Linked DNA regions of Arabidopsis thaliana. The protein of the gene in region 1 interacts with the protein of each later gene in a pairwise test. Each region holds a gene or a part of one and is shown in the gene's direction. Other genes may lie near its edges.

The links.
Region 2: the proteins of AT3G66654 (region 1) and DER1 interact in a protein complementation assay, tested with the Arabidopsis thaliana proteins (one large-scale study listed by BioGRID).
Region 3: the proteins of AT3G66654 (region 1) and AT1G80890 interact in a protein complementation assay, tested with the Arabidopsis thaliana proteins (one large-scale study listed by BioGRID).
Region 4: the proteins of AT3G66654 (region 1) and SEC22 interact in a protein complementation assay, tested with the Arabidopsis thaliana proteins (one large-scale study listed by BioGRID).

What each region holds. Positions count from the first base shown.
Region 1 is NC_003074.8:2,086,078-2,092,138, forward strand, and holds AT3G66654 (Cyclophilin-like peptidyl-prolyl cis-trans isomerase family protein), read left to right. Parts: upstream 1-1,838; 5' UTR 1,839-2,106; exon of another isoform or gene 2,107-2,571; 5' UTR 2,572-2,616; coding exon 2,617-2,768; intron 2,769-2,884; coding exon 2,885-2,930; intron 2,931-3,054; coding exon 3,055-3,105; intron 3,106-3,278; coding exon 3,279-3,364; intron 3,365-3,661; coding exon 3,662-3,799; intron 3,800-3,896; coding exon 3,897-4,047; intron 4,048-4,133; coding exon 4,134-4,220; 3' UTR 4,221-4,464; downstream 4,465-6,061. Other genes in the region: AT3G66652 (fip1 motif-containing protein), read left to right, coding at 1-886, 1,132-1,479; AGL91 (AGAMOUS-like 91), read right to left, coding at 5,185-5,721. UniProt on the Arabidopsis thaliana protein: PPIases accelerate the folding of proteins. It catalyzes the cis-trans isomerization of proline imidic peptide bonds in oligopeptides.
Region 2 is NC_003075.7:14,442,175-14,448,259, forward strand, and holds DER1 (DERLIN-1), read left to right. Parts: upstream 1-2,378; 5' UTR 2,379-2,762; coding exon 2,763-2,779; intron 2,780-3,376; coding exon 3,377-3,512; intron 3,513-3,618; coding exon 3,619-3,692; intron 3,693-3,779; coding exon 3,780-3,873; intron 3,874-4,122; coding exon 4,123-4,251; intron 4,252-4,333; coding exon 4,334-4,494; coding exon of another isoform or gene 4,495-4,531; exon of another isoform or gene 4,532-4,588; coding exon 4,589-4,778; 3' UTR 4,779-5,063; downstream 5,064-6,085. Other genes in the region: PRF4 (profilin 4), read left to right, coding at 5,544-5,675, 5,936-6,073. UniProt on the Arabidopsis thaliana protein: May be involved in the degradation process of specific misfolded endoplasmic reticulum (ER) luminal proteins.
Region 3 is NC_003070.9:30,394,870-30,399,376, forward strand, and holds AT1G80890 (GAG1At protein), read left to right. Parts: upstream 1-2,258; 5' UTR 2,259-2,341; coding exon 2,342-2,492; exon of another isoform or gene 2,493-2,914; coding exon 2,915-3,006; 3' UTR 3,007-3,341; downstream 3,342-4,507. Other genes in the region: AT1G80880 (Tetratricopeptide repeat (TPR)-like superfamily protein), read right to left, coding at 325-1,354, 1,460-2,052; MGT1 (magnesium transporter 1), read right to left, coding at 3,420-3,650, 3,737-3,784, 3,879-4,340, 4,411-4,507.
Region 4 is NC_003070.9:4,008,995-4,014,701, forward strand, and holds SEC22 (Synaptobrevin family protein), read left to right. Parts: upstream 1-1,762; 5' UTR 1,763-1,896; intron 1,897-2,065; exon of another isoform or gene 2,066-2,479; 5' UTR 2,480-2,514; coding exon 2,515-2,702; intron 2,703-2,989; coding exon 2,990-3,150; intron 3,151-3,241; coding exon 3,242-3,388; intron 3,389-3,536; coding exon 3,537-3,613; intron 3,614-3,757; coding exon 3,758-3,841; 3' UTR 3,842-4,110; downstream 4,111-5,707. Other genes in the region: AT1G11880 (transferases, transferring hexosyl groups), read right to left, coding at 276-471, 584-676, 805-910, 994-1,333; AT1G11900 (Tetratricopeptide repeat (TPR)-like superfamily protein), read right to left, coding at 4,172-5,215, 5,577-5,636. UniProt on the Arabidopsis thaliana protein: V-SNARE involved in vesicle trafficking from the ER to the Golgi complex and required for early secretion. Involved in endoplasmic reticulum (ER) biogenesis and functions as well as for Golgi-stack integrity. Essential for gametophytes development.

The sequences.
Region 1 (6,061 bases):
AAGAGAACCTTATTATGAGGACTGTATACCGATTACTGACATGGATTATAGGTACCGGTCAGAGAACTCGTCTGCACATGCAATACACAACCTCAAGCACAGTCCAGAGAATGATCTTTATTGCAGAAGAAGGGGTGGATACGATTATAATTTGCATCGTGATAGATATGAAGATGGAGTTCACAGGGTAGAAAGTAGAATTCCATTTGAGCTGGCGTACAGGGAGATGCGTTCTTTTGCTGAAGTGGAAATGAGAGAATATCAAGGGTATAAAAGACATGAGGAATTCTCTGAAATAGAGAAAAGACATCATTACATTCATGATTGGCATCTTGATAGATTTGTCTCAGAGGAAGATGGTTATAAGTATAGAATCCAAGATGGTTGGTCCTCACCGTCTTTATCTTTGAGAGATTCTTGGTATACCAAAGAAGCAAAAGGTGATTTCCGGAGAGATGATACCAGAGACTTCAGAACACCTGAAGCATATGACAGCCAGAATAACCATTTTCATAAGGCTGCACCGAGAGATGGCTGGACGCAGAATCTTGGTCGTAGCCATAATGTGAGCGTAAAAGATAGACTACAGTATGATGCTGATTGGGTTGGTCCTGATAGAGGAAGATATAATATGGCAGATGACATGCAATGTTCAATGAGAGAAGTTTCTAATTCTGAGCATCCATCATATACTGATGAGATATTTGTCCGCGACATAAGAGTACCGACACATAATCGGATGGCGACCAAACAAAGGTTTGGATATTTACAGAGCCATATTCATGAAAATGATGAAAGACATCACAGATCCAAGAAGCTGAGAGGAGATGGGCATGCTTTCATCAAGCGTCAGGATCATGTTGACTTAGCTGGTAGGCAAGGAAAGGTAAAGATTGGGAAACTAAATCTACATGCTTTTAAACCTATATTTGAATGAAGTATAAACGCCTTTCAGTTATTTATATCCCTGGATTTTCTTTGTGTTATTTCTGACTGTTTTATCACTTTATATGGTCTGTCTTCTATACTTAGGTTTTATGTTGCTCACATCCGTATATTTAGACATCAGTTAGTGTACAATGAAGAACAAGACCCTTCTCATGTGATAGATATTTTGTGTGTGTGTTTCAGGTCTCTAACCAATCAAAAAAAAGATTCTCCAATGGCGGAGATACAATCGAGCAACAAGATGTTCAGAAACCAAGAAAGTTAATGGGCAAAAGCGAAGAGAAAGCTATGCAGAATCGAGATATAAATGACAAAGAAGAAGGCGAGATAATAGAAGAAGTGAAAGGTGTTGAAATAGACAATGAACGTATACAAGAGAGTCTGAAAAAGATGGAGAAACGGAGGGAGAGGTTCAAGGGAACCAAATTGGCGGTAGAAGCGACATTCAAATCTCAAACTGAACTGAGAGCTAAAGCCGATGTTACTAATCAACAGAGGCCAGTTAGAAAGAGGAGATGGTGTGCAAGTTAAAAAGATCATATTGGATGGCTTGTTTCAGGTTAACACAATAACGGTTTATTGATGGTAGGCTATATCTAAACCGATCAATTAAAAAGTGGCTAAGAAAATCACAAAACCGAACAATTGACTGTGACCTGGGTTTTTTTAAGTGATCTTGCTTGTGCATTTTTTTTTTCCCTTTTGTAAGTGTTTACGTAGAAAATTTGACTTTTTTACCAATGCTTATTTATATTTACAGTTTAGTATGTGTAATGCAAAATCAAATGATGCAGCGAAGGATCAAACCAGTGACAATTAGGGCGGAAACCGTATGATTAACGTGATAACCACTAGACCATAGTAAAATTACTTTCTTTTGAATTTAGAATCATTTTCTTGGGTCAAATAGATAACCAGATAATTTCATGAGAAAACCAGACCGAACTATACGATTTTTCAAAAATGATCAACTTTTGTATTTTTGTTTGTGGAATAATATTCGTCGGATATTGGTGAGGTGGACTCGTAGCCGTCGGATAAACACGCGGCTGATCTGAAGCGTCTCTGCAAAAGAGAAAAGAGAGCAGAGAATTCAAACCAGTTTCCATCGACGCAACGACCAATCTCCACGATTCCTCTCTTCTCTCTAACTTCCAGGTACGTTTTTCGAGAACCCAATGAAGCAATCAAAGTCCTTGGAATTCATTTGATTTTACTTTCAGGTCTTTGGATTTCTATAGAAAGAAAGATCTGTTTATTATTTGATTGGAACATGATAAGCTGCTCCGTTTCTCATATCCACTTTTGTTCAATTTATTTCAATTTGATCGATAATTGGAAAAGTACTGGATCTGGTGTATCGGAAGTTACCGGTCAAGCTATGTATGAACCCTTGTGATATTTTCACATGCGTTTATTCATTCAAATATGCTAGATTTTTAATCTGGTCAATACGTGATATCAGGGTTTCTTCAGTTGGGTAACAACTTAATCTTATTGCAGTTTTGATTTTACCAACTTGAAATTGAATTATAGTCTTACAGATACGAATTTGGAGTTTTTGTGTAGTGTATACTTGTTTTCTGGATTGCTTGTCACTTACTGTTGATTTATGGTTTGCAGAGACAAGTTGTATCCCTCGTTTGCTTTCTGCGAAACTAAGGTGCAATGGCGAAGATAAAACCGCAGGCTCTTCTAAATCAAAGCAAGAAGAAGAAGGGTCCAAGTCGCATAAGTATTTCCACTATTATTGTCTGTAATCTTGTAGTTGCTGTAGTCATATTATCGTTGGTCACAACCTATCGCCATTGGTCCCAAAGGTTTGTTTTCATCTTTGAATTGTTCCTTTTTCATTACTTCTGTTATAGTAGATTCTCCTTTTACTTTATGTGATTATCTATAAACTAAAAAGGATATCATTGGTTATATCTCCTAGGTCAAGAAACACAATTGAACATGAAACTCGGAGTCAGAGATTTGAGGTATTTTCTTGAGAGATTTTTTAATGTATAGCTTTTGAGTTTTGATCCTGATGAACTTCCGAGCACTTAGGTTTAGAGTTTAGGGTATTTACCATATGTGATCTGGCTTTGGTTTCTGCTTCAGGACACTAATACTGCGTCAGGGCAAAAAACTTACGATCTTCCTGGTTTTGCTGTAAGTTAATCTCCCTGTTTGCTTGCTTAAGTTTCTTGTTTTAATCCTTGTTCTTATTTCTCATCATGGTATTATGTTCTGTTCATCAGTTTTTGAAGTAAAAAAAATGTGATGTGTCTTATCTGAATATTGATTTTAATGATATCTTGCTTCTATTTTCCTATCTCATGTAGGATATAAACACATCAAAAGGACTTATAACTGTCGAACTCTTCAAAGAAGGTTCCCCTGAAGTTGTGGACAAGTTTCTAGATCTATGGTTAGTATTGGAATTCGTTTGTTTTCCTTTAAGTTAGATAGAAAAAGAACAGTAGAGTAATTTGATTAAGCTAGGTCATGACTTGTTCTTAAATAGGAGTATTACTTCTAGCTTGATAGGATTCAAGTAGCTTTAGTTTCTTGATTGACTGATTTTGATCCTTAAGTCCTCTTGTACTCTTCTTGGAATTTTTGTTTGGAACATGAAACCTCATTAAAGAGAAATGGGCTGAATCAGTCTGTGACGATATTGTAGCTTAATATAATAGTAGAAGTTGAACATTGAGTATTGTTGCAGTCAAAAAGATCACTTCAAGGGAATGCCGTTTCAGCGGGTTATAAAGAACTACTTGGTACAAGCTGGTCACTCACCGAGCTCTATACCTGTAGAAGAATGGACAGCTAAAGGAAAGCTCAGAGGTCGCCTTCACATTGGGTATAACTTGCTTGCTCTGCTTTTGGCTTTTAAGTGTCAATGTTTATCATCTCTCGCTGGTTTTAAAAAATAAAAAACTACATATGTTCTGTTACAGCCCAAAACATGAGGCATTCATGTTGGGAACACCAAAAAACAAAGGGAACAACAAGGATTTTGAGCTTCTGATCACAACGGCCCCAATCCCGGATCTGAATGATCAACTTATAGTGTTTGGAAGAGTCCTTAAGGGAGAGGATGTAGTACAGGTTTGATCCAACTAAGCACAGTCTATCAGCTTGAATGGTTTGTTTAATAGTTTCATGTGTTAAAAGATTAAATCATATTATTACAGGAGATCGAAGAAGTGGATACGGATGAGCATTTCCAACCGAAATCGCCAATAGGGATCACTGGTGTTGTACTGAAACTAGAGACATGAAATGAAAATTTCTCTTCCTTGCTTCCTCTGTAAATGAGGCTCACGCCAAATCCTTCTTCATACTCGCTCTTTTGTATAAATCCTCTTTTGAGGTTTTTTCTTTCTTTCTATTTTACAGTTTCTTGTTGTTTTGTAATTTTATTTGATTTTTCTCGAGGAAATAGAATCTTTGTTTAATTATGCTTCTGATACTTGAGCAAATACATGAACTGATTTTAGAGAATTTTATCCTGTTATGATAGAAAAACTTCTGTATTATACCCGTTAAGTACCATAAAACTATTAGAGAAAAAGAGAGGTCTTTTAAAATTTATATGAGAAGATATGGAGAACAATCTGAAAAACCAGAAACAAATCCTTTAAGAATTCTTAAAAATCTCTACAAGATTTCTTTTAAAAACTCTAAAATAATTCTTAAACAATTCTTAAGGAATTCTTAAATTATTCATAGAATACAATTACAAAAATACTGTATTTTTGTTTTAGGTAATATTTAATAATTTGGAATAAGATATATAGGACATACATCAAATTATGTATTTTGATACTATTTTGACTAAAACTTAAAAATGTTAAAAACACATTTATAAATATGTTAATTAGTTGGTGTACTCTTATGTATTTTTTTCTAATTAAAGATAAATATCTAGAGTGTGTAGACAAAATCTATAATAATATAAGAGAAAAAAAAACAAATAACGCTTTAAAATTTCATATCGTAATCATTATCAATTTTGTAGAGTAGGAGATATTGTTATAATTCATTGTTTTTGAAAAGAGAAAATCTTCATAGTAATATTTGGCAACCGAAAGTTACAAACCATCGATCATCAAGAGGAAGATACAATCAATAAACCTGTACCAACCATCTGCTACATCTCTACCATATAAATCTATAACGACTAATACAAAATGAAAGTTCCAAATCGGTGTTGTTACTGTTGCCTTCTCATTTGCATAACTGCTAATTATCATTAGAGAGAAACATGAGAGAAGACGAAGCCTGCATATGACTAATGTTACTTTGGATCCCACAGCTTATTTTCTTAATCTTAGCCTCAAATTCCTTGAGTTCCTCAAGCGTAAGCTCCTCAATGGGCTTATTGAACTTATCCTGTTCAGCAGATTCAAGCCACTTGTGAAGATCTTCACCATGTTTCTTCTCAGCTTCAGCTTCTTCAGTAATCGAGTTGAGGCGTTTACATATCTTCTTCTCCTGTCTAGCTCTATTGCCTCTACTATAGCCTGATGTTTCACAGCTATCTCCTTCTTCTTCTTCTTCGAATTCATTCTTAAACCGTTCTGCAATCACATCAAAATTCGGTTTCCCGAAGGAATACGGTTTGTTTCCTGGAGAAAAGACAACAATACCAACCTCCGCGTTGCACAGAGTCGCAAGCTCGCTCGCTTTCTTGAACAAACCCAGCCTACGTTTTGAGAAGGTAACTTGCTTCGTGTTTGTGTCTTGCACTTTCTCCATCTTAATCTTTCTCCTACCCATTTCTTTTTTTTTGTGTGAAATGTTTTGAGTGATTGTAATCTATGTTTGTGTATATAAGAAGAAGATTGTATTTCTTTATGTATTTATAGTAATGAATGTGGAGAAAGTTGTTATTGAACCTCATCATCATATATGTATATTTTTAGTAAACTTTTGTTTTTGCATATATATACATATTTAGTAACTCCACTTTGAAAATCTTGCATTACCTTATGAGAGCATTGAATATTTTCCATGTATTTAATCAATATTCATAGATATTTAACTATTATTAGTATTATCTTACTATTAGACCTCTTATTAAATGGTAGTTTGAATTACAAGGAGAACTTTACCAAGT
Region 2 (6,085 bases), on another chromosome or scaffold:
CGTGCAAAGATCTTGAAATAGATATGTCTCTCTATTTTTTAATGTCTATGAAAGGACGTAACAAGTTTCTCTTCTATTTCGCATTTGGTAATACATTAATGTTTTAAGAAGACATTTGCCCAAGTTGCTAATTTTTTCTTTTTTTCCTGATGAATATTCAATGCATCTATGGCTTTGACAAAAAAAGAGATAAAAAATGAAGGAAACAAAATAACCAATGCATGTAAGTAATAATACTCTTCTCGCAAATGAAAACAAAACCTCGAACAATCAATTTACTAGCTATGCGCTAGGGCCAAGCTACTATACTAGGCACTAGGTCCGATTTATTCAGAATCAGTTTTGATATGGATATTGGTCGGATTCGTTCAACCCACTGATTCCAATTTGGTTTTGAAAAACAATGTTCGGCCATTTGCATCCAGAGTTATTTAAATCACGAAAAATATAGTTTGCTATTTATCATATACATACGGAATTTGCATGTTAACACTATTGATCAACTAGATTTTTCTAATGTTATATTTTTTTTGGTGGGGAAGTATTGAACTTACCTTACCACTCTTTTTCGATTCAAATACTAAGAATCACATTTATCAGTTGTGAGTTTAGCTAAATATGTGGGTGGTTTTAAATTTGTGAGTATTAAATTTGTCATTTCTATCACAAAACAATGGGAGAAAAAAACGAAAAACTAGTTTCCCGACATTAAACATGCGAATTACTGAAACATGGATAGGTCCACCATTTTTGCCATTTGACAAGCTCGGTCTCTTGTTTTCCTTGTTCATAAATGATTTTAGTTTGTTTGCTTTTTTAAACGCATCTTTCTATCACTTTTTTCTTTTGGTTGCAAATATGTCGTTTTCTCTCCTCCCTCCTTTTCCGGGATTTAACTTATCACAATGTAATGAAATTTGCATGTTCCTCTCTCGCCATTGGCAAGTTCCATTGCGATGTCTCTATCGATAGGTCAAACAATCCAAAAGAACCAAAACCTTTTTTCTTTTCTTTTCCACTCACATTTAATCTAGGGACCCTTTAATCTTATTCATTTTCTCAACGATAATGTAAAAAAGTATAGTTAGTAAACTGTTAACTGTGTAGATTATACATGTTTTTTAATCAATCATATAATTAGAAGGGGTATTTAGCCGTCCAAAAGCTGTTTTCGCGTGACTATGCATGAAACCCACTTACGTAGCCTCCAACGTAACGACCAATAAAAAGCTCTAACTTAGGAACATTACAACGAACTAATATTTAATAAGTTATATAAGGTCATGAAATGAAATCTTATAACGTATCTAACAACTCACATGATCTATACCATGTCACATTTTTTATCAAACATATGTTAACCACCTAAGCACTAACACTACTCTTTGATCAAACTTATATTTCGCATATACTCCAAAAGAAACCAAGTGGCATATTGGCATATCTCGTAATGTGGTGCCAAAAATGCTTATCAACTTAATTATAGTTCAGATATTGTCTCCGTATCGTATCTTAATATTTGTATTCAACAATAGGTATTATGTTGTATTAGCTAGGTGTGATTTGTAACGAGAAGAGATATCTCGTTCTATTGTGAGGTAAAAATAAAATAAAGCAGTACAAGAACATAACGGTATAAACGGTTTTTACTGTTAAAAAACTTGTAATTGTTTATGTACCAACCCTATTGATTGTGTTTAAGAAATTATTTTTAAATCTTGAGATTCTTATTCAAATATAAACATTGAAGATCGATATTGCTCAATATCACAATAATCTTTCTAAGTTATGAAAAGAACGTCTACTACTATTTGTTTAAAACTACATAGGACAACATCAAATCAGTTTTGAAATTCATTGTAAAATTCTTTTAATACTAAAATTGTTTACAGTTAATGAGAAATTACAATATTATTTTTAGCAGATTATAATTAGAAAATACATTATTATTATTGATCAATTTACCTTGCAGTTCCACGCAAAACCAACAAAATAACAAATAACAAAGCATTGTGTGGAATGACGTAAGGATGAGTCAGCAGACAAGGAGTGAGATCGAATCGGGTCAAGATTATCTGGTTGGGACCCGTCACATGCACATGGACCCTCTCCCGTACCTAATCCAGGTTAAATAATCTTGATTTTCTGTTTAATTACCTTAAAAACACATTATTATTGAAACTAATAATAAATCTCGGATCTTTGGTTCCGACCATACTTGCGAAAGATCATTGCTTTAATGCTAATGTTTCTCTAATTTTGATATTCCTTGAGATTAGATTCCCTTTGCATTGTCTTTTCTTGTTAATTTGTTAGGGTTCATATTCTTACATTATTTTTTTTGGCAAAGAAAAAAACATTTATAAACATATCTAATTCGAGCCTGATCTATTAATGGGTCAAATAAAAGCCTCTTTGGCCCAATTCAATAAACTGGCCAACTGGGGATCATCATAGAGACAGACTACTAGAGAGTAGAGACGCATCAGAAAGAAGAGAAATTGATCCCACAAGTTTAAACACGATTACAAATTAAAACGTGCCACGTATTCAAGACGGTGAATTAACACGACGTGGCAAGGTATGATTGGATAACTTACGCAGCTGCCTAACAAAAACAAGTGATTTGAGTTTTCAGATGATTAGAAGGAAAAAAAATTCTGGAACTTTCGAGCTTCTGTTTTGCGGTGCTCTCAAAGCTTATATCGGATCTCGAATCTTGAATCGGACTCAGAACCTCGGATCTTCGAAAATCGACGAACATGTCTTCTCCTGGCGAGTGAGTTCCGTTCCCCTCTATTGAAACTTTGCTTCGATTCGATTTTGATCGAGAGATTCTTAGCTTGGTCTTCGTACCCAGGATTTTGAGTCCTTAGGTTAATAATTTTCATGATTCGTTTAGCTTGTATAGGGGTTTTTGAAGCATTCAACTGTTGATTCTTCTCAATTCGAGCGTAATTTTGCAACACCAAGCGAGTTCTGTGAACTTGAGCTAACGCTATTTTTAGTATATAGTTATCAATTTGCATTGTCATCATTTGATATTTTGGTGATTTGAGATGTAAAGAAACATCTTTTATGCCATGGAAGTTAGTACAAGTCAACTGGTAGTTAGTTCTTGAAATATGGAATCTCATAGTGTCTTGAAGCAAAACTGTTCTCGTTTGCTGTATCATAGTTACAAGGCTACTTTGATTCTCCTAGCTACGATAGTCTAAAATATCTCTGCGTAGGCTTGTCTCTTGTGGTAAAGTTTTATGCTTTAGCTGATCTTGATGACATTTCCTGATTAGAAATTTATAGATGGATGGAATATGTATGATTTTGATTGTTTATCTGTCAAATTGTTTCTTAGATCGCTTGTTATTGATTGCAGATTCTATAACTCACTTCCACCTATAACCAAGGCTTATGGTACGTTGTGCTTTTTCACTACAGTAGCCACGCAGCTTGGCTTAGTTGCTCCCGTTCACATTGCTTTAATTCCTGAACTTGTACTTAAGCAGTTCCAGGTATATGATTTATTCTTTTTTATGATTTTCCTTTCTTTCTCACAAATCTCTGTCATCCTAAGTTCCTAATTCATTCTGCAATTTTTGATCTATTTGGTGTTTGTAGATCTGGAGGCTGATAACAAACTTGTTTTTCCTCGGTGGTTTCTCTATCAATTTTGGAATACGTCTTTTGATGATGTGAGCATACTATTTTCACATATATAGATGAACAAAGCTAATTTCGATTTTTATTATCTTAACATACTCTTTTAAATGATTGTGCAGAGCAAGATATGGAGTTCAACTCGAGAAAGGGCCATTTGAAAGGCGGACAGCAGACTTTTTGTGGATGATGATCTTTGGATCCTTCACTCTATTGGTATGTAAAGCCTCCCCTGTATTCTATTCTTACTGATCATTGTTATTGGTTCTTTGAGAACCCCAGTACTAGTATGTGGTATGCCACAAAGTAGATAATCGCTGGTACATAATATCCCAAAGCTGAGAAGATCAGAAGCTCTCAAAGAATTGAATCAGGGTTGCATTTTATTAAAGCGAGACAAAATTTTGGAAGGTATTCATACTAGTAAATCCGTGTGTTAAAACAGTTACCTTGTTCAAATTTCAGGTATTATCAGTCATACCATTTTTCTGGACACCGTTTCTTGGTGTTTCACTTGTGTTCATGCTTCTTTATCTCTGGAGCCGAGAATTTCCAAATGCCAACATCAGCCTATACGGTCTTGTCACTCTTAAGGTATTGAAAGTGTTTCTTTTGTAATCAAATCCACTCCTTGGTATATATAATGTTAATGGTGAAAGTTGGAATTACTCCACAGGCTTTCTACCTCCCATGGGCAATGCTAGCACTTGATGTTATCTTCGGTTCTCCGATCATGCCAGATCTTCTTGGCATCATAGCTGGACATCTATACTACTTCCTAACAGTCCTTCATCCTCTTGCTACCGGAAAAAACTACCTGAAAACCCCAAAATGGGTGTATCCTTTATTCAAATTCTCGATTATTTCCAGATGATTGTTTCTCTCGCTTCTCAGTTTTTGTTTTGCTGTTGTACCTTGACATTCTCAACAGTAATAAAATCGTAGCAAGATGGCGAATTGGAGCTCCAGTTGCAAGTGTTCGACAAGCAGGTGGTGTAGGAGCAGCAGGACCCGGAGCTGGAGGAGGAGTAGGAGGAGGAGGAGCTTATTCAAGCGCTCGTGCCCCACCCGAGAGTTCAAACACAGCATTCAGAGGTCGATCATATCGTCTCACCGACTGAAATAGAAATCTTCTCGAGTTTCTTTGTTTTCATCATATCAAATCTTTTTCAAACAATGCCACTAACTAATCCCAGGTAGCTTTGTGTTTTCGAACAGTACAGTTTTTGAATATATGACTCTGTAGGAAGAATCTTTGAGGTTTTAATACAATGTTCTTTTCAAAATGTGGTTCATGTTTCTATGTTTTTGTTTTTGTCTAGCAATCATCTCCTTACTAAATTGAATTCGATAAACTATAGCCACTATGAATATAATCAAATGAAATTTGTGACATAAGAATTTGGACGTAACGAGTTTGAATATCTATCTAGATAAGTTATTAAATTCGTGACCAAAGAGTTTGGTCGTAACAAGTTTGAATTTTTTAGGACATAATATTATTATTGGCTAACAAGATTACGACTAACGAGTAAATAATCATTCCTTCGGTCCTTCCTCTAAAATGCCGTTGGTGATCGTTTATAAATAGGGGAAATAGGAAAAGGGAAGAAAGTAGACGTGGCAAATAGCGAAACAATGATTGAGCTATAACAAAGGCGAAACTTGAGCGGCACTAATTGAAAATCACTCCTTGTTTTTTTGAAGAAAAAGTAAGATGTAGGGCTGAGAATTCGTCTATGTGATCCAACGGTTTTAAAATGATCCTTGTTCCTTCCTCTCCTATTTATCTGAAGGACGAAGTCCCCACGCTGCACATAACCGGGGCACTTAACGTATAGATCATAAACAAAGAAGAAGAAAAAAAATAAGAAAAGAAGAAGAAGATGTCGTGGCAAACTTACGTTGATGAGCATTTGATGTGTGATGTTGGCGATGGTCAAGGACACCACCTTACTGCTGCCGCTATCGTTGGTCATGACGGTAGCGTTTGGGCTCAGAGCGCCAACTTCCCTCAGGTATTTGATTTCATTGCGTCTGATCTCAATGTGATTTAGATCCTGATAGTGTTGCTATCCGATATGATATGTGTTTTTACAATGTGATTTAGATCATGCATCATGTTTTGATTAGATTCTATCAATGTTTGTCATGGGATATATATATAGTGTATTTTGTGTGTGTGTGTTTCTTTTTATATGTTTTGCATAGATTTGAAAACAAATGATGCATGTTGTCTCATGGTAATCGACTAATCGTGATTTGGTCTTTCATATAGTTCAAGGGACAGGAGTTCAGTGATATTATGAAAGATTTCGACGAACCGGGTCACTTGGCACCCACGGGATTATTCATGGCAGGAGCAAAGTACATGGTGATCCAAGGTGAGCCCGGGGCTGTAATCCGTGGCAAGAAGGTAACCTAATCA
Region 3 (4,507 bases), on another chromosome or scaffold:
ATTGAACTTTAACTTCTTGTAACTTGAACGTGCAGCGATGCGTGGACGTGTAACAATCAAGAATCACACTAGTTTTTAACGTCTATCATGTAATCCGGAGAGAGATTCCTGAATCAGCATGGCTGCAAATGATTAGTTTTGCAGATTCATTGATATTAGGAATATGCAAAGGTAGCGATCAGCAAATCTAGTAAACTGACGAAAAGATTACCTGGAAAACTGCACGGCGGATGTAGTGAAAGAGTGGAGACCGTGAGGTTTGAGAATTGAGTCATTATTTCAGTGATCGTTTGATGAGAAACTTCAAGTCTTACCCCTATCTGATTATTTTCTGTCTACTGATCGTTGACCCTTGTAGCCTTCCTGAGAACCAACTTTTTGAAGATTCATCCTCTTGCTTTTTCTGACCCCCTTCACCTTTTGCTCCTCAAGAAGTTTCTGGAGCATAGGATTTCCTACGAACCCCTTTGATTTCATCTCTGAATAGATCTCTCTGGCCTTTTCAAGCCACCCACATGACAAAAGGCCCTGTATTGTAGCCAAGTAAAGAGCAGGATTAGCCACTATCTCAAAACGATCCATTTCTGCCCAGATCTTCAAAGCATTTTCTGGTTGCTTTCCCTTGAACAATTTTCCAAGAATAAGAAGAAAGGTCTCTTCTGTAGGACCTAAATCAGAGATCTTCATTTGGCCTAAAACCTCTAAAGTTTTCTCGAAATTTACAGCCTCAAGGAATGCATGAAATGTATCAACTGTTGGACTAAGGTTCTCACTAATCATGGTTGCCAATACATTCCTGGCTACGTCCAGCTTTCCAGCCTCACAAAGGGGGCGTATCATCGAGTTGTAGGTCACTGAATCTGGCTTTAATCCTTCCTCGTTCAACTTTTTCATAAGCTTCATAGCTTCATCAAAGCAATCCTCACGGGTCAACACATAAACCAAGGAATTGTAAACTTCAATCCCTGGAGCCAATCCCCGTTTCTTCATTTCATCGTATAGCCTGAGAGAATCAAAAAGGTTCCCAACTTTAGAGAAGCAAGAGATCATGTGACTGTAAGAGTCCTTGTTAGGCGTGATACAGTAATTCCCCATCTCTCGCCAAATCCTCTTTGCTTCAGTCACATCAGTCCAAATGTTACACCAACCATTAAGAATTACGTTGAATCCCTCAACATCCACCGGAAAGAGCTTTTTGCTTGCAAGCATGAACTCTTCAGCTTTTTCAATGTGGCCATGTCTACACAATGCACATAGCAATCCTTGAAATGCTTCATCATAAGGAGTGTGTTTAAACTTATCCATAATATCAAATGTCCGAATAGCTTGGCTAGTATCATTAGCAGCAGCATATCTACATCAACACCGTCACCAAGACAACCAATTCAATACCTAGCTAGTAAATCTTTCAATTTAGCACAACAAAAGAGAAACTTTTATCAAGAAGACGAAACCGAACCTGTCCATCATGAGAAACATGGCCTTTCTAGTATCCTTTGAAACATTAAACATATCACGGATCAAACACCAAGCAATGTTGAACTTTTGATGATTACCCAACACCCAGATCATCAAATCACAAGATTTCTGATCATCACAGCCGCGTTTCTCTCCCCATTTGAATGCTAGAAAGGCAAGCCTCCATTCATCTCTTAATTCCCAGATTAAGGAGTAGAAAGAATCATGATTTAGATCAAATGATGAGTCCTCCAGAGAAGCCATGGCATCCGCCTCTGACTCCAGCTCAGAGACCTGTCTGATTAAATCAATCAGACCCTTTTCTAACGGAGCCAATGCTGTTAAGTTGATATCAAATGTTTCGGAGATGGTTTTGGTGGAGAAGCGATTAGAAGAGGCAAAATGTGGGAGATAGCTTAAAACTTGAGAATGCACATGACCTGCTCGATGAAATGCTGAAGAGAAGGAATGATTTTGGGAAACTGAGCTCGAAAACGACGTCGACACTGCACGACGTAGCAGAGATTGATGCTGAACAATCCGCCATTGTGGCGTTCGCGCGAGTTTCCTACCAATGGCAACGATCGCGGCCATAGCGAGTGAGTGAGAAGGCTTAAATTAATACATTTCAAACATGGTCTTAATGGGATGAGGATATGAAGTTAATGGGGTCAAAAACGAATATATAGATAATATGGGGTCTAATATGGTAATAAACAAAGTAACACTAATATGAATGGGCCTAAATAGGGCCCATTTTAGATTTCTTTAAAAGATCCGAGAGAGAGAGGGATCTAATTCCTGATAAACCCTAGAAGAAGAAGAAGAAGAAGAAGAAGAAGAAGAAGAAGAAGAAGAAGAAGCAAAACCTGTGGAGATCGAGATGGGAAATGAGAGCAAGAGCAATTTGGGAGGAGGAGGAATTAGGGCAAAGATGGAGCACTATGTCTACAGTGGGGAGAAGAAGCACGTTTTGGCTGGGATCGGGATTATCTCCATCATCTTCGGAATCCCTTGGTATCTAATGAATCAAGGTTCGTTTTCTCTGGGCGATTTAGATTGAAATATATAAATAGATGTTTCTCTGTAGATTCCGAAATGGAAGAGGATGATGATATCAATAGCTGAAAGATTTAGAATCTAAAGTTTCTAACTTTATATTTCTTGGCAAATGCAATCAAGTGGTCGATCAAATAGAGTTTGATTATATGATAATGATGAGTCACAATGTTTATTCTGTTTGGATCATAATAGACTTGCATGATCACATTTTTTACCAAGTTTGTTTGCTTTTTCCCCTGATGATCACACATCGATTCAATTGCATAATCTCAATGGTTAAATATCTTATTTGCTATATGTGACATTTGGTAATATTCTCCTTGTTTTGTTCATTATATAGGCTAATTGTTTCTCTTATTGGCTTTTGTTGTTTGGTAAATCTGGTTTGTTTCAGGATCAAAGCATCGTTCTCACCAAGATTACTTGGAAAAAGCTGATAAAGCTCGAAAAGCTCGTCTCTCATCATCTTCATCCTCGGATAAGTAGTCATCTCCCCCCACTTGGATGGAGACTCTAGTCAACTACATTTTGTGAATGGATCCATACATCATCGTTTCCATGTCTATAAACTCAGCCATGTCTGTTCTAGAGTGTGGTTCAGTTCAGATATGTATCTTTACACTCTACACTTAGGTTTCTTTATCGAAGATATGTAAATTTGCGATAAGTTAAAGGATTCATCCTTTACGATACTGTTGTGTGAGCTGTGAGTTTCGACTAGGACAATCCATAAAGTGAAAGATCAAGATGAGTCTGGTATGGTTTGCTTAATAATCTTTCAGTAACCCAAAAAAAAAATACACGGGGTTTTATCTTGTAAAGGTCACAGGCGATTAATGTATAGATTTAAGCAACATAAACAGTAAAACAATCGTCTACGTGTCAGGGTAGTTATGTCTTCACAGAGGCATGAGTCTTCTACGTTTGTAGTACCAGAGGAATGCCAAAAATACAACAAGGCCACACACTCCAGTAATGGCTAAAACCCATTTGAAAGCACCAGGCTTTTCAAAGAAGTCTATCTCAAAATTCATCCCAAAGATCCCGGCTACAACCCCGAAGATGGCTACAACGAATGTGGCAGTAGTTAGCAGCAGCTCGAATTGGATCAGCTGATTCCGTACGTTATCCTGCAAATTCCAGAAATTTTCAGCAGATTCTTAAGGTTTTCTAAGCAAATAAGATATCTAAAAAAGATCAAGATTTCAAGGTATACCAATTGAATGTTGATGAAATCTTCGGTATCATCGATGTACTCCTTTAACTGAAGAGTAAAGAGAGTTGCAGGTGATTAAACCGCTTTTAAAAGCTGTTAAAACAAGATGATGAATGATCACAAAGGCGAGGTTTTTAGTTACCGAGGTTAGCTTGTTGAGAGTGCTGTCAATGACAACAAAGTATGCTTCCAGCAACATCTCTAGCTCCTCTATATTCTCGGTTGCGTCTTCTGAGCTCCTAGCACTGTCATGCCGGCTCCTTACAATGCTCAAGCTTTTCTCAAGTCTACGGGACTCAGGAGGAGAAGAAACAGGAGAAACTGGCGCAGACAGAGAAAAACAATCATTTGTTCGATAAACAGGTAAAGATTGATCACCATATAAAGATCCTTCCATTCTCTTCTTCTTCTCTGTTAGATACATTTCTGCCATATCCCCATCATCGTCCATTAGCTGTTCAATCTCATCCCGAACCTTCTGAACTCGTCTCGTCAATGCTACAAGTCTGCTCTTTAGTCTACGAGCACGCTCCAAGTTTAGAGTACTGATCTTTGAGGTAAGCTCATCCAATAATGGGTATGCCTCAATCTCTAACTCTGAAGCCTACAAAGGGAAAATCTATTCTCAATGCTGAGCATACTAAATAACAATAAGTTGTGAATCAATCACTGACCTGGGAATCAAGGAAGGTACAAGCAGCTTCAAGTGCAACTTCAAGAGCCCTGAACTCGAAAGGTAAATAATCAGGGGATGAGTTCTGAAGCACATTG
Region 4 (5,707 bases), on another chromosome or scaffold:
AAGCAGATGTGATTTGAGACATACTAAATCAAGAAACTATTCCAGTGCAACCATGAACTAAAGAGCATACCAGCAGAACAGTTAAGTAGGAATCCATCAGATAGAGATATAAAGAACAAAGTAACTAAAAATTGTTCGAGTTCTCCTTTTCTATCTTCTAGAAGGATCTTAATTGTAGGAAATAGAATGTTTCAGATTAAGCATACTACCGAAAAAATCCGGAGTTTGAATTGCAGCAATAGTTCTGAAATTTGAATGAAATATGTATAACTTACATAAGCACGCCGTTTCTGATATAAAGCTTCATATGCTCGATGCATTGTCTGGAAACAGATATAACCAGCATTAAGAATTCCATTGGACCTTGCACAGCCTGAGAGAGCAAACCAAAGAACGCCTACATTGCTGGTACCAGATAACAAGTGATACACTCCTCCAATAGAGAAAAGAGCATACAAACTTTCTGAATATCTGAAAGTCACAAAGAAACAGTTTGGTCTTCAGTTAGTTACCATTCTGATAAGACTGAACATATTTACTTTCAGCAAATGAACTTAAGAGATCATTGGCTTAAACACATTACATTGACGAATAAAATATGGACGCCGGATTGAAACAGAAGATAATCGAAGCTCTGAATGATGCTTCAGTATCCTTCAAGATAATAACTGAAACCCTGTTAGCAACGACTGGTGTAAGACACGGTGAATAGCAAACAGCATTAGCTTGTAGAGCTCAAAAGACTCTTGACTTGACTTATTTCTAGACACAATAATCGATTTAGGATGAATGTCAAAGAAGTACCTAAATAGATAGATAGCAGCAAATATGAACGCCAAGTTACTAACAGTGAAACCAGACAACACCATCACAGCTCGAAGACCAATCAATGGAACCAAAGGCGCAAAAACTGAATCCAAAAAGAATCAGTTACTACCGGAATGATACAACCAAAGTAAGGAATCAAGTGGGTAGATGTCTAAATTACAAAACCTGTGCGAGAGAGAAGCGAGATGAAGAAAGGAAGCAGAGGCAAGAAGGCGTAAGTCTGCTCATACTCATAGCCACACTCTGTGATTCGGAGAAAATAAACACTGTCCCAGACAACACTGTTCTCAAGGGATCTCGAAGCTGCATTGGCTACTAGAAACGGAAAAGAATCTTCTTTGTGATACAAGCAAGGAGGATTCAGTGCAGCGGATGTATCGTACGGTTGGAGTAAGCTCCGCCACAAAATGGTTAAGAAGAGAACGAGAAGTCGCGAGAAGATGGCGTATTTGATCAAGATGGTTTCTTTCCTTGATTTCGAGTTTGATTCCAAAGCTTTCGCCATTGATCACGAGCTCGTATTCGAGTATAAAAAGGCGACAGATGGTTCTCGATTGCAAGAGTCCGGTGACGATTTGTGATTTTCGATCTTCTCGTCGGAGAAGAATGTGTTACTCTCTAAATGTAAAAGAGAGTTTCAATTTAATAAATGAACCGGTCGGTTCAATAAAAGGGAAAGTCACCGGTTTTAGAAAATTGTTCCGGTATTATCCGGGTCATTAAGACGCTTTGATCGGTTCAATCCAGTTTTAAAAACGCTAAGATGAATGTAGCGTTTGTGAAGCTAATTAAACGAGCCACGTCATCAAGACATGTCAACAAAACGCGTCATAAGCCCAATCACGTGAGGGCTGGTAATTGGTAATCGCAAAACGTAGATCGCCATAAATTAAATTTCGAACAGACAAAAAAAGAAAAGAAAATCAATAAATAATCATTTAGTCCCTTTGTTTGATAAACCCTTTAATTGAAAAAAAAAACAAATTACTTCTCTTTCCTTCGATCATCGTCTTCCTCTGGTTCTCAGATCTTTGAATCGAGCAGAAGCAATTTTAAATCTCCTATCAGGTTTCTCTAAATCCATGCTCAAGTCTAATTTTACGTTTTACATTTGTTCAATTTTGTATGAGATTTGCTTCCGTTTGGGATCGGAACTTTGAGAACGTTCTGAAGATATTACTTTACTGTGTAGCTCTTGAATCAATTTTTCCGTTTGATGTCTTGTATTGATGTTGTTATTAGATCGTTAATTTTCTTTCCGTAGATGATGAATGTGGATTATGCTGAAATTCGTTATAAACTTTGGATTTGATGGTGGTGAATTGTCACAATGTAGAAAACGAAAGCTTTTGATTATAGAATTTTCTTTGAGGTTGATGTTCTCTGCTATATTTGAATCTCACGTTTGAATAGTTCGTCTTGTTCAATATCTGAATGCAAATAGAGATAAGCTATTTCGAACACTCATTGTTGAAAAATCAAAATAATTCATCTTCTTAGAGTATTGTGTGTTCTTACAGAACCCAAGTTTTAAGCATCTGTGTTTCAATTACCTGGCTTACATGTTCTGTCTTGATGATAAATATTGGTTTTGTGATTTTAGTGAGTTGCAGGATTCATATTCTTGTTTTGAAATTTGTGATAATTGCAGTGAATTTTTATTACTGGAGAAGTAATAAGGCAAAGATGGTGAAAATGACATTGATAGCTCGTGTTACTGATGGGTTACCTCTAGCTGAGGGGCTCGATGATGGACGTGACTTACCGGATTCAGATATGTATAAACAACAGGTCAAAGCTTTGTTTAAGAATCTGTCCAGAGGTCAAAATGACGCTTCAAGAATGTCCGTTGAAACTGGCCCCTATGTTTTCCAGTATCCTTAACCTCTGGTTTTTTCTTCATTCCTTATTAGTTCAGTTTCTGCTGCAAAAGTTTGTTGATTGATAGATATAATAAGGATTGTAGAAAGTTTACTTTGATTTACTTAAGATTCACACTTTTGACATCCTTGTACATTTTTACCAGTTTTTGGCTTAGTACACGTTTCAATCCTCTTGCATTATGTTTGAAATCTACGTTGTCATATTAGTATGCTTGTATCTCAAAGCTAAAGTTTAAGAAAGACCAGATATGTATGCTTCCTTGACCAGAAAACTTTAGTTACATCATAGAAGGACGTGTTTGCTACTTGACAATGTGTGACCGCTCTTACCCAAAGAAACTCGCTTTCCAATACCTGGAAGATCTCAAGAATGAATTTGAACGTGTCAATGGGCCTAACATTGAAACAGCTGCTCGGCCTTATGCCTTTATTAAATTTGGTATGTGTAGTGTAGATTTTTCTGTACATTCAGTATCTTGGAAACATACCTCTCTGGATTCACTCTTTTTCCACTTTGCCTTTTTTTGTAGATACATTCATACAGAAAACCAAGAAACTGTACCAAGACACTCGTACGCAACGAAACATCGCCAAGTTGAATGATGAACTCTATGAGGTTCATCAAATAATGACCCGGAATGTGCAAGAAGTCTTAGGTGTTGGTGAAAAGCTGGACCGTAAGTCAACATCCATTACTTCTCCTATGATCATTATTTAAGCTTTTAGAATAAGGAGAAATGGAACACTAGTTTTGCGTTTGTTATAATCAGCTGAGCAATATGCTTATCATTTGCCATTTTCTCTTCTTGTTTTTTCTTAATGCAGAGGTGAGCGAGATGTCGAGCCGGTTAACATCTGAATCTCGTATATATGCTGATAAGGCTAAAGATTTGAACCGTCAGGTGAGTTTGATTGTATATTACCTTATATTACACATTGCAACATTGATCACACGGCTATGAGATGCTCTCATTCCTTGTGAGCTTGACATATTGTAGCTTAGATAGTTAACATATGGTTATGAAACATTGAATTTGGTTGACCAGGCTTTGATCCGAAAATGGGCACCAGTCGCAATTGTGTTCGGTGTAGTCTTCCTCCTTTTCTGGGTCAAGAACAAGCTATGGTAAAAAAAAAAGGAGGAATCTAAGGCTATTTTCGTAATTTAGCGGACTTCTCCAGACATATGTCGACCTCCCCTACCGGACTCAAGTCTCAGATTCCGGCACCCAAAATATCTTCTTTCTTTCAAAGAGAAACTTTGACACATTTTGTACTTCTGTAGTATGCAAACTTTATGAGACTGGTCATAGTATCATCCATTATACTCTTTTCAAACCTTCATTGTCATTTTCTCAGGCTTCTTTTAAATTGAATTAGAACCACAATTAAAGTAAAACGGATTGGGTTTGATTTCATACATATATCTAACAAAATCTGAAGAGTTTACACAGGCTATTTTAGCGTCTATGTGACCTCAAATGTCTCTTAAAATCTTGTGGACCAGCCAAATCTAATGAGGAAGTGTTCTTCAACTCATCTGAAAGCTGCAATGCACTCTGAAAATCTCCTGACTTCTTCAGACAATCGATTAAAGCTCGGTAGACATAAACCGATGGTCGAATCTGTCTCTGCTTCATCTCATCGAAAAGCCTCAACGATTCCTTAACGTTCCCAGATCGACCCAAACTGTCTATCACCGCTGTATAACTTAGCAAATCTGGTTCAATTCCACATTGAACCATTTCATTGTATATCACCAAACACATATCGAATCTACAAGCTTTCCTCATCCCGTTTAACACCGTGTTGTAAGTAATGATGTTTACAGATACACTACAATCTTCCTTCATCGTTGACAAAACCCCCAGAATCTCATTCACAAGGCCAGCTCGTCCCAAGATATCCAAAACCGAGTTATATGTGATCACATCTGGTTTACATTCCCACTCTTTCATCTCCTTAAGTATCATAAGAACCTTATCGATCTGTCTAGTTTCAGCAAATGCAAAGATGATTCTGTTCATTACTATTAACCTATACGGAAGTGAAGACTCTGATATCTCTTTAAGCAGACTCGTCAAATACGTGCAATCATCCGTGTTAATGAATGCTCTAGCAAGGTTGAGATAACAATCTGAACTCAATGGTTCCTTACCCGGCAAGATCAAGACCTCTCTGAAGACTCTACAAGAAAGCTTCATATCGTTCAGCTCACCCGCCGCTGCAAGAAGGTTCTTGAAAACCGAAATAGGCAAACATATGTTCTTTTCTTGTAAAGACTGTAACAAGTCATATGCTCCAGAGAGATTTCCATCTCTTGTAAACTTCTCAACAAGATTCGTATAATCGATTTTGCTGATGATCTTTGAACCACTTTCACTATGGTTAACGATCTTCTTCAAGAGTTCTTCCTCGTCTTCTTCTCCAGTGTTTATCAAAGAGTGCATACCAGAGAACGAGCAGCTCCAGCTCAAATCAGCTGGAACTAACATCATATGTTTCTGCAATGCCAATAAACAGAAAACCAAATCATCAATTTGCAGAATCACCATCAATCATCAACTTCCACATATAACTATGAACAATGTAAATCTATAAAAATGGATTTCTCAGTTTTCGAGATGACTACAAAAAAACTCACACATTTAATCAGAAAACTTCGTAATCAAACACTAGCTGAAGCGTGAAAGCCCCGAAACTAAAAAACGATCAAACTCAGAAGAACAGCAATGGTTCGAAATTTCGCATCTTCATCGAATCAAACATTGATAGAAGAAACTCGCTGAGCAGTAACAATCAGAAAACAACAACGAGAGCATAACATGAATCACGAAAACGGTTCTGGATTTTTGGAATTCATACCATAGAAATGAAGGAACCTCCATAGACGGGGATTCTCTTAACGATCGACCACTTCATCATCTTCCTCGGTAATCTATCTCCTCTCTGCTTGTGACATTTTTCAGATTTTTGATTTCTGAGGGAATTAGTTT